Linked DNA regions of Drosophila melanogaster. The protein of the gene in region 1 interacts with the protein of each later gene in a pairwise test. Each region holds a gene or a part of one and is shown on either strand. Other genes may lie near its edges.

The links. The genes of interacting proteins can lie anywhere in the genome.
Region 2: the proteins of Ir20a (region 1) and CG3808 interact in a two-hybrid assay, tested with the Drosophila melanogaster proteins (one large-scale study listed by BioGRID).

Annotation. Positions count from the first base shown.
Region 1 is NC_004354.4:21,477,238-21,480,991, reverse strand, and holds Ir20a (ionotropic receptor 20a), read left to right. Parts: upstream 1-2,046; coding exon 2,047-3,738; downstream 3,739-3,754.
Region 2 is NT_037436.4:18,998,867-19,002,620, forward strand, and holds the start of CG3808 (uncharacterized protein), read right to left. Parts: upstream 1,743-3,754; 5' UTR 1,655-1,742; coding exon 1,433-1,654; intron 1,377-1,432; coding exon 80-1,376; intron 1-79. Other genes in the region: SmydA-2 (SET and MYND domain containing, arthropod-specific, member 2), read right to left, coding at 2,216-2,526, 2,583-2,844, 3,201-3,754.

The DNA of each region.
Region 1 (3,754 bases):
AGCAACAACAACAACAACAATTGAAGCGACAACAACAATGTCGGGCGCACCACAAGAATGACGACAAAGTGATGACCAAAAACGCAGTCAGCAACTTTGTTGACCATTTGAACAACAAATTTTTCCACCAACCCCACCCCCCTCCCCCCACCATTCCGACGACCATCAAGGTCCTAATGCGAGGACTATCGTCCACAGCCCGCCGCCCCACTTCCATGACCATTTTCATTTCCATTCCCGGCCCATCTGCATCTGACCAGAGAGCTGCATTGTTTTGGTATGGTTATATCGCGGGGTGCAGATGGGTAAGATGGTCAATGTGGGGCTGGACAGGTAATACCATTAAGGTCCAGGGTAATCCCTCTATGAATCGTTATCAAAAACATGGTTAAGCGACAGTTTTTGAATAGTGTACAAAGGTAGATACTCAAATGTCAGGTATGCTGGAAAAAAATTGGACAACCAAATTATGATCAAATGTTTCAAAGAACTGTTGATCGCTCATAGGAAACCATAAATTATTTTTAACAATTAGTTTTAACGTCGGTCTTGGCGAAATCATATGTGTTACCTAGTGTATTGAATGAATACTAATAGGTGCCACAGCAAAATTTATGTTTAGATATTTACTTTTTATTTTTATTTAATTTTTTCTATATAATTAAAATGCTTATTAAACTATTTTCTGACAGTTTTAACGAACGTTTTCTCACCCAGAGAGTCTTGATCCAAAGCATTCGAAAAGGACACTCTGGCGATCGCTGGAAGGTGGCTTTGCCAGCCCTGGCAAGTTGATGTGGCCGCAAAACACTCGTTCATGAATAAACTTTGCATACTTTGCAGGCATTCATGCGTGGCTATGTGTGTGTTGGTGAGGCCCCAACACCCCTAACACCATGCCATGTGTGGGTGTGTGGAGAGTTGAGTGTGTGTGTGTGTGTGTGCATGTGGTCGCCATCAAAATTGACAAAAATGCAAATTTATTTACAACTGCAGCCAGCGTCAGGGTCGAATTGACGATGACTATGGCGATGGCGATGCCACGTGAATGAATGCCAATGGCAGCTGAAGCTTTAACGTTGTTGAATGTGAGAGGGGTGTATGAGGCGGAGGAAGTGCACAAAACAACTCGGCAAAATCAACATGCAACACACGGATACAGATACGCGCCCAGATACACCCGCAGCCGCACCTGCTCACACTCACACACACACACACAGCGACACACCGAGCACATTGCACTGACAGTTGGAGCTGTCAAATGTCGCAAGTGTATTTGAAAAACGCGGCGGCGAAATGCGCAAAACATTTCGCCTGGAAATACTTGCGTGTGCACCCGCCGCATACTCTCCGTTCTTTGCGACCGTTTTTGGTGTCCTTTCCAGGGGATTTTCGCGCAAAAGGTGGGCTCCCCAAAAAGGTGACACAGATGAGTGGTCCACTTCGACCAAAGTAACCGAGTTAGGCGCACCGAAACAACTAGTTCTAAATGCGCTGATTTCTTGTTTTGTTGCCGGACTTTTCTGGTTTTGAGTCGGCTTTCATTGCTTGAGTTAGAAGGAATTCGATTATCGGTTATTTTAATTTCGTTGATGAATGTGGGTGGCATTGGGAATTTCGAAAGTTTTTTAAACTTAAAAGTCGGCATTTATTTTTTAGCATGCACTAGTCGCCATAAGTGTTTTCACAAAATAAACGCTGCATGTATTTACAACACAAAAAATATTTGTCAAAATGATACAAAGATCGGAATACTCCGGATCCAAAAATCTTATTCATAGCAAGCCATGTGTTTTTAAACGATTTGGACCATAGAATTCACTCTTTGTAGATTGATTCCAACCTCATGTCCCCAAGGCAAATACTTGGGAGTTGCAAAGCCAGAGCCATCGCGTTGTGCAAACAATGCGATTGTCGCTATGCAATCGTCCTCGGTCAATTATACCGGATGGCTCACGATAAGGAGTGGCGTACACTGCGTGGTGCAGACCACGTTTCAGACCAAAGTTGTGAAGCCCGTCAGTCGATTCCTTCGATGCCGGCGACATGTTGGCAAGCTTGAACCGTAGCACTGGCCTTTCCGCCGAACTGCTGGATCTCTACGGCCTGGTGGTTCACTTTCTGCTGAGTGGAGAGCACACCACACTGGTATACTTCAATCCCGCAGGACTCGACTGCAGTTGGGGGGTCCTGTGGCAGCGGAACCTAACTGCTCATCCGCAGATCGTGTGGCAGCGCAACTATTCATACCCGGACCTTTACTATCAGTTTAATGCGAAACTCTTGGTGCTGGCTTGCTTGCCGATGGACTCCAGAGCTGCAATTCAACTAGAGATCCTAGCCAATAGCCTAAGCCACCTGCGGACGGTGGTTCGATTGCTTATCGAAGTGGCAGGTCCTGATCAAGTAACGCTGGCCAGGCAGTATCTCTCGTTTTGTCTGCGCCGGAGCATGCTGCATGTGGAGCTGTATTTCCGTGACTACCACCACTCCCTGATCCTCTACTCCTTCCGAGCGTTTCCCAGTTTCGAGCTGGTAATGCGTTGGATTTCAGTCGGGCAAGGCGTGAAATTGTTTCTCCATAAATTGGATGATCTGAGGGGACATCGTCTGCGTGTAATTCCGGATCTCTCGCCGCCCAACACCTTCTTCTATCGCGATGCCAGGGGCGACAACCAGGTGACCGGTTACCTGTGGGACTTCTTGGCCACTTTTGCCGGTCGGCTTAATGCTGGTCTGGAGGTAGTTCGTCCCAGTTGGCGGGCAGGTTCGGCCTCTGATAGTTCCTACATGTTGGAGTACTCCGCGAAGGGCCTCATAGACGTGGGCCTGACCACCACACTGATCACGAAGTGGAATCTCTGGGCCATCCATCAGTATACCTATCCGCTATTGGTCTCCAGCTGGTGCACTATGTTGCCGGTGGAAAAACCGTTGGCAACACCAGATCTGTTCGGCCGAATCGTGTGTCCAACGTTGGCGATGACCCTGCTACTCATCATCCTCGTAACCTGGCTGGTGTTCAGGCAACTGCGTTGCCTGACACGTTTGAAGAACTCAAGACCGGCACGGATCGTGCCCCATCTGCTGACCCTGCTACTGCTAACCACCTGCAGTGCCCAACTGCTATCGCTCCTGATATTTCCGCCCTACCACGTGAGAATAGCCAGCTTCGAGGATCTCCTTCGCGGTGACCAGAAGATCCTGGGCATGCGAAACGAATTCTACAACTTTGATGGAGCTTTCCGGGCGCGGTATGCAGGTGTATTTTACCTGATTGACGATCCCAACGAGCTGTACGATCTGCGCAACCACTTCAACACAACGTGGGCCTACACCATGCCCTACATAAAGTGGCTGGTGATTAAAACCCAGCAGCGACACTTTTCCAAACCGCTTTTCCGTTGGTCTAAGGATCTCTGCTTCTTCGACTTCATGCCCACCAGCGTTATTGTGGCCCCCGATTCGATTTACTGGGAGTCCATAAAGGACTTTACCTTTCGTATCCACCAAGCAGGTCTAATGAAGCACTGGATCCGAAAGAGCTTCTACGATATGATCAAGGCCGGCAAGATGAGCATTAAGGACTATAGCGATCTGGAGACTCTTAAGCCCCTGAATATCGGGGACTTGGAGATCGTCTGGCGGGTCTGTGGAGCAGCCATCGCAGTAGCGTCTGCGATTTTCATAATGGAGCTGTTGTACTTTTACATTAACGTATTTTTCAATAGCTTGTAAGGTATTTCTTGAAATA
Region 2 (3,754 bases), on another chromosome or scaffold:
AAGAAATTTGGAAAGGTATAGCGCTTTGAACCTTAAAATAATTCAGCAAATTTATAATATTTAAGCAACGTAAACTTACGCAGTCCAGCCCTGGGGGGATCCACCACGGCAATAAGATCCAATGGTTTACCCGGCTCCTGATCGTAGAGAGCTTCGCGCACCATACTCTTGATGAAATCATCTGCATTTCCTGTAAAGAACTTTGCATTTTTAATGCCATTCGCTTCCGCATTAAACTCGGCATCCTTAATCGCATCAGGGACGATCTCCACGCCCATCACTTTCTTGCAGTGCTTGGCGAACGCAAGGGTAATGGTGCCAGTACCACAGCAAATATCCAACATAGTTGTGTCCTTAGTAGGAGCAACTAGATCAATGGCCTTTTGATACAACACGTTGGCTCCTTCTGTGTTGATTTGGAAAAAGGCCAGTGGGCTGATTCGAAACTGGAGACCCTGTATGGTATCGGTGATGTGGGTGCTGCCCGAAATGTGTTCCACCGGATTAATCGTCTGACCTGCTTCCCGATGCTTGACATCTTGGTAATACAGAGAGCTGCATTTGTACGGAGCATCATTTGCCAGATCTTCGTAGAAGGACTTCAGTTCTTGCTTAAGTTCAACTTGTTCGTCTTCACTTAAGTTCGAGGAGTATATGCCCGCCACCAGCATTAGTTCACCTGTGGCACTGGAGCACCGCACCATTAGCTGCCGGAAGTGGCCAATATTTCCGTCCGGATTGAAGGGCAAGAACTTGGACTTCCTCACCAAGTCCTGGAAACTGCGAGCAGCCCACTTGGCCTGCTCCGGTAGATGTGGCAAGTCTGCGACCTCGGCTACTTCCACAGATCCATCGCTGTAGCAGCCCAATCTGAAGCCCACAACCACTTCGCCTACGGAGTTCTTTCCCACGGTGAACTCGTTTTTATTTCTATACCCATTAACGGTGGGTGAGGGAAGCACCTCGTGGAATTGGAACTTATCCAAGTGGGGCTTTGCCCGCGGATTGACCTTCCGAAGTTCCTGGGTGTATTTCGCCAGAAGTGCCGACATTTCCTCGGATTTTTGTTTAATCTGCTGGTCGTAGGCAATGTGCGACAGAGGACACGTGGCTTCCACCGCCGTACGTTGTTTCTTGGGCTTTCTCTCCGACTCCTGTTCCTCGGCAGCTCGCTTTTTCTGTAGAGGATCGGCCGAGGCCTTGGCAACATGAGCCTTCAACACCTTTCCCTTCCATTTGTATCCATTCAGGATCTCCAAGGCCCTTTGTTGATCCTCCTGACTGCGGAAGCACACAAAGGCGAACTCTTTTCGAGTTGGAGCCTTGATTTTGGTCACGTCAAATTTGAGGGTGTTTCTCAAAAGCTTCTTAAACTCCTGCAAAGTTATAATGTTGTTATATTCATATAAAGGCTTAGATTTCAACTACCTACCCCAATACCGAAATATCCCATGTTCTTCACTTCAACTTTGAATATTTCCGAAGTGAATTCATTTCGCTCCAAGTAAGCATATTCCTCGCCGGCTTTTCCGGCTTCATCCTCACCATTTGCCAGCGTGGTTTCATCAGCTTTCACTACATTTTCCGAAATCTCTTCGGTCTCTATGCTATTAACCACTCCGTCAGCTGGTATTTCCGCATTGAAACACTCCATTTGCTTAAAAGAAGCCGATTTATTAAGGAAAATGAAATATAAACAGAAAGAAAACACGTGAAGATGCAACAGTGTGACCGTCCAGTCTAAAATGTATATAAACACCAGCGGCTATGCCGGTGGTGGGTGTCTTCGCTAAATAATATCAACATTTTCTAAAATACATAAAACTCTTCTACAGGCTCTCAAAAGATAACGGATACATAACACACTTGGCGCCAAATTCGAAACATCATAAGAAAGGCAAGAGTCGAAATCTAGGTTATTATAGCAAGGTCAATAAGGCAGTGTATTTCTGCGTAAGGAAGTAAGATCTAGTTGACACATTGGTTGTTTATCAGATCCATCCAAATGATGGGAAATTAAATATGGAATAAGTTTGCATTCCGATTCATGACGAACGGCCAAAAAAATTAACGTTCCTGAAAATCTGCAAGCCAAATAAAATAACCCATTTTTGTTTTGGTTTGCATACTTTGGCAGCTTTATTCTTAAATTGATTAGTTATCCAACTAAAGGGTATATGATAATCGAGCATACCGACACTAGCGTTCCTTCTGCTTAATTCTCAACTGGTTCAAAGCGCTCAAGCGCAGAACTCAAAATGACTTGTCGTTCCAACAACAATTGTTGCATTTCCGGCTCGTGCTTCATGATGTTTCGAATTTCTCTGAGCATTTCCGCCGCGTTTCTCAGCTTCTCCTCGCAATCCAATGGGTCTTTCGAGCGCAGAGCCTGCGTCACTAAAGCTTCCTCCATGTCTATGAGCAGATTGCCCCGGAATATGCTCCAACCGCCATCGAAAATGTCGGCCAGTTTAAGGAGTTCCTCACATAGTTGCAGTTTTCTGTTCAGCGATTCTCCAGAAAGTTCTGAAACAAAGAGTTTCTTACAAAAATGCATAATTAAAATTAAATATTTTTATTACCCTCCATTGCGAATCCCGGAGCACTTCCGTATAGTTGAGTGAGAGCATATTTGGCCTGCAAAATGTGGGTATTGGTCTCATGGAGATCAGCACGATGGCGATAAATGAATTCCTCGAGAGCAACGGGAGTCGTTTTGTCCAATGACTCCAATTCTTGCTGAAGCTCCGCATCTGAGGTAACCACATCCTTCGCCGATCTTTTAAAATTGCACAACTGACACTTCCAGGGCGCAGAGTTTAGAAGGGGATTCAGTGATATAATCTACAAGAGGGCAGGAAATTGTTATATAAAGAACTATAATCGAATATGTATGTAACAGGCATAAGGGAGCGTTTCAGAGCCTTTAACGTAAATATATTATTGATCAGGATCGCCAGCCGAGCCGATCTTATCATGACCGCCACGTCTTTGGCGTTACTAGAAACTGCATGCTTAATCTAGATTCTAGCTTTAAAAGTTTGGGAGATTTCGACATTCATAGGGAAAAACAGGCGAACAGACAGACGGACGGACATTAATGGTTCTGAATTTCCGAAGAGGTTTGTTGTTGACGAAAACCCCAGTCGGAAATTTCCTTTCTTATTGCTGTACAAATGCTTCCTTAGATCTGATCTTACTTTTCCTGCCTTGCATTTGAGACACGTTTGGGCTCCTGCAAAGCTGCCCAACTCCTCGGGATCCTGACACCTGGCGCATGAACAGTCGAAGCACTTGGCCTGCCTGAGGTGAACTCTTCTTTGAATGGTGCTCCTCAGGGGTTGGGTGTAGGAAATGCTCAAAATTTCTCCCTTGGCTATCTTCCTCTTGGCCAGGAAGACAATGTTCATGTCGTCATCGAAACGATGCCTCATATTCGGAACGCAGTCGTGCGAGATCATCGCTGCTCCAGGATAGAGAGCTCGGATTTTTCTCCTTTCCCTGGGTTGTCTGACCTCAAAGGTGTTTGTGTCCAGTATAGCGGCTATGCGCAGGATATCCATCTCCGGCCAATCCTTCATGCCCAATACAGTCTTTATGAAGGTGATGAGATTGGCACGTAAGACTTGGTACAGCGGAGTCTCCAGGCGCTCCTTCAGGTGATCCTCCAGGTTGTAAAGCTTGAGGAAGGCATCGGGATCTTTGTCTTTAAGATGCATGCAGCGGAGCAGCATGATCACACAGTAAGCCGACT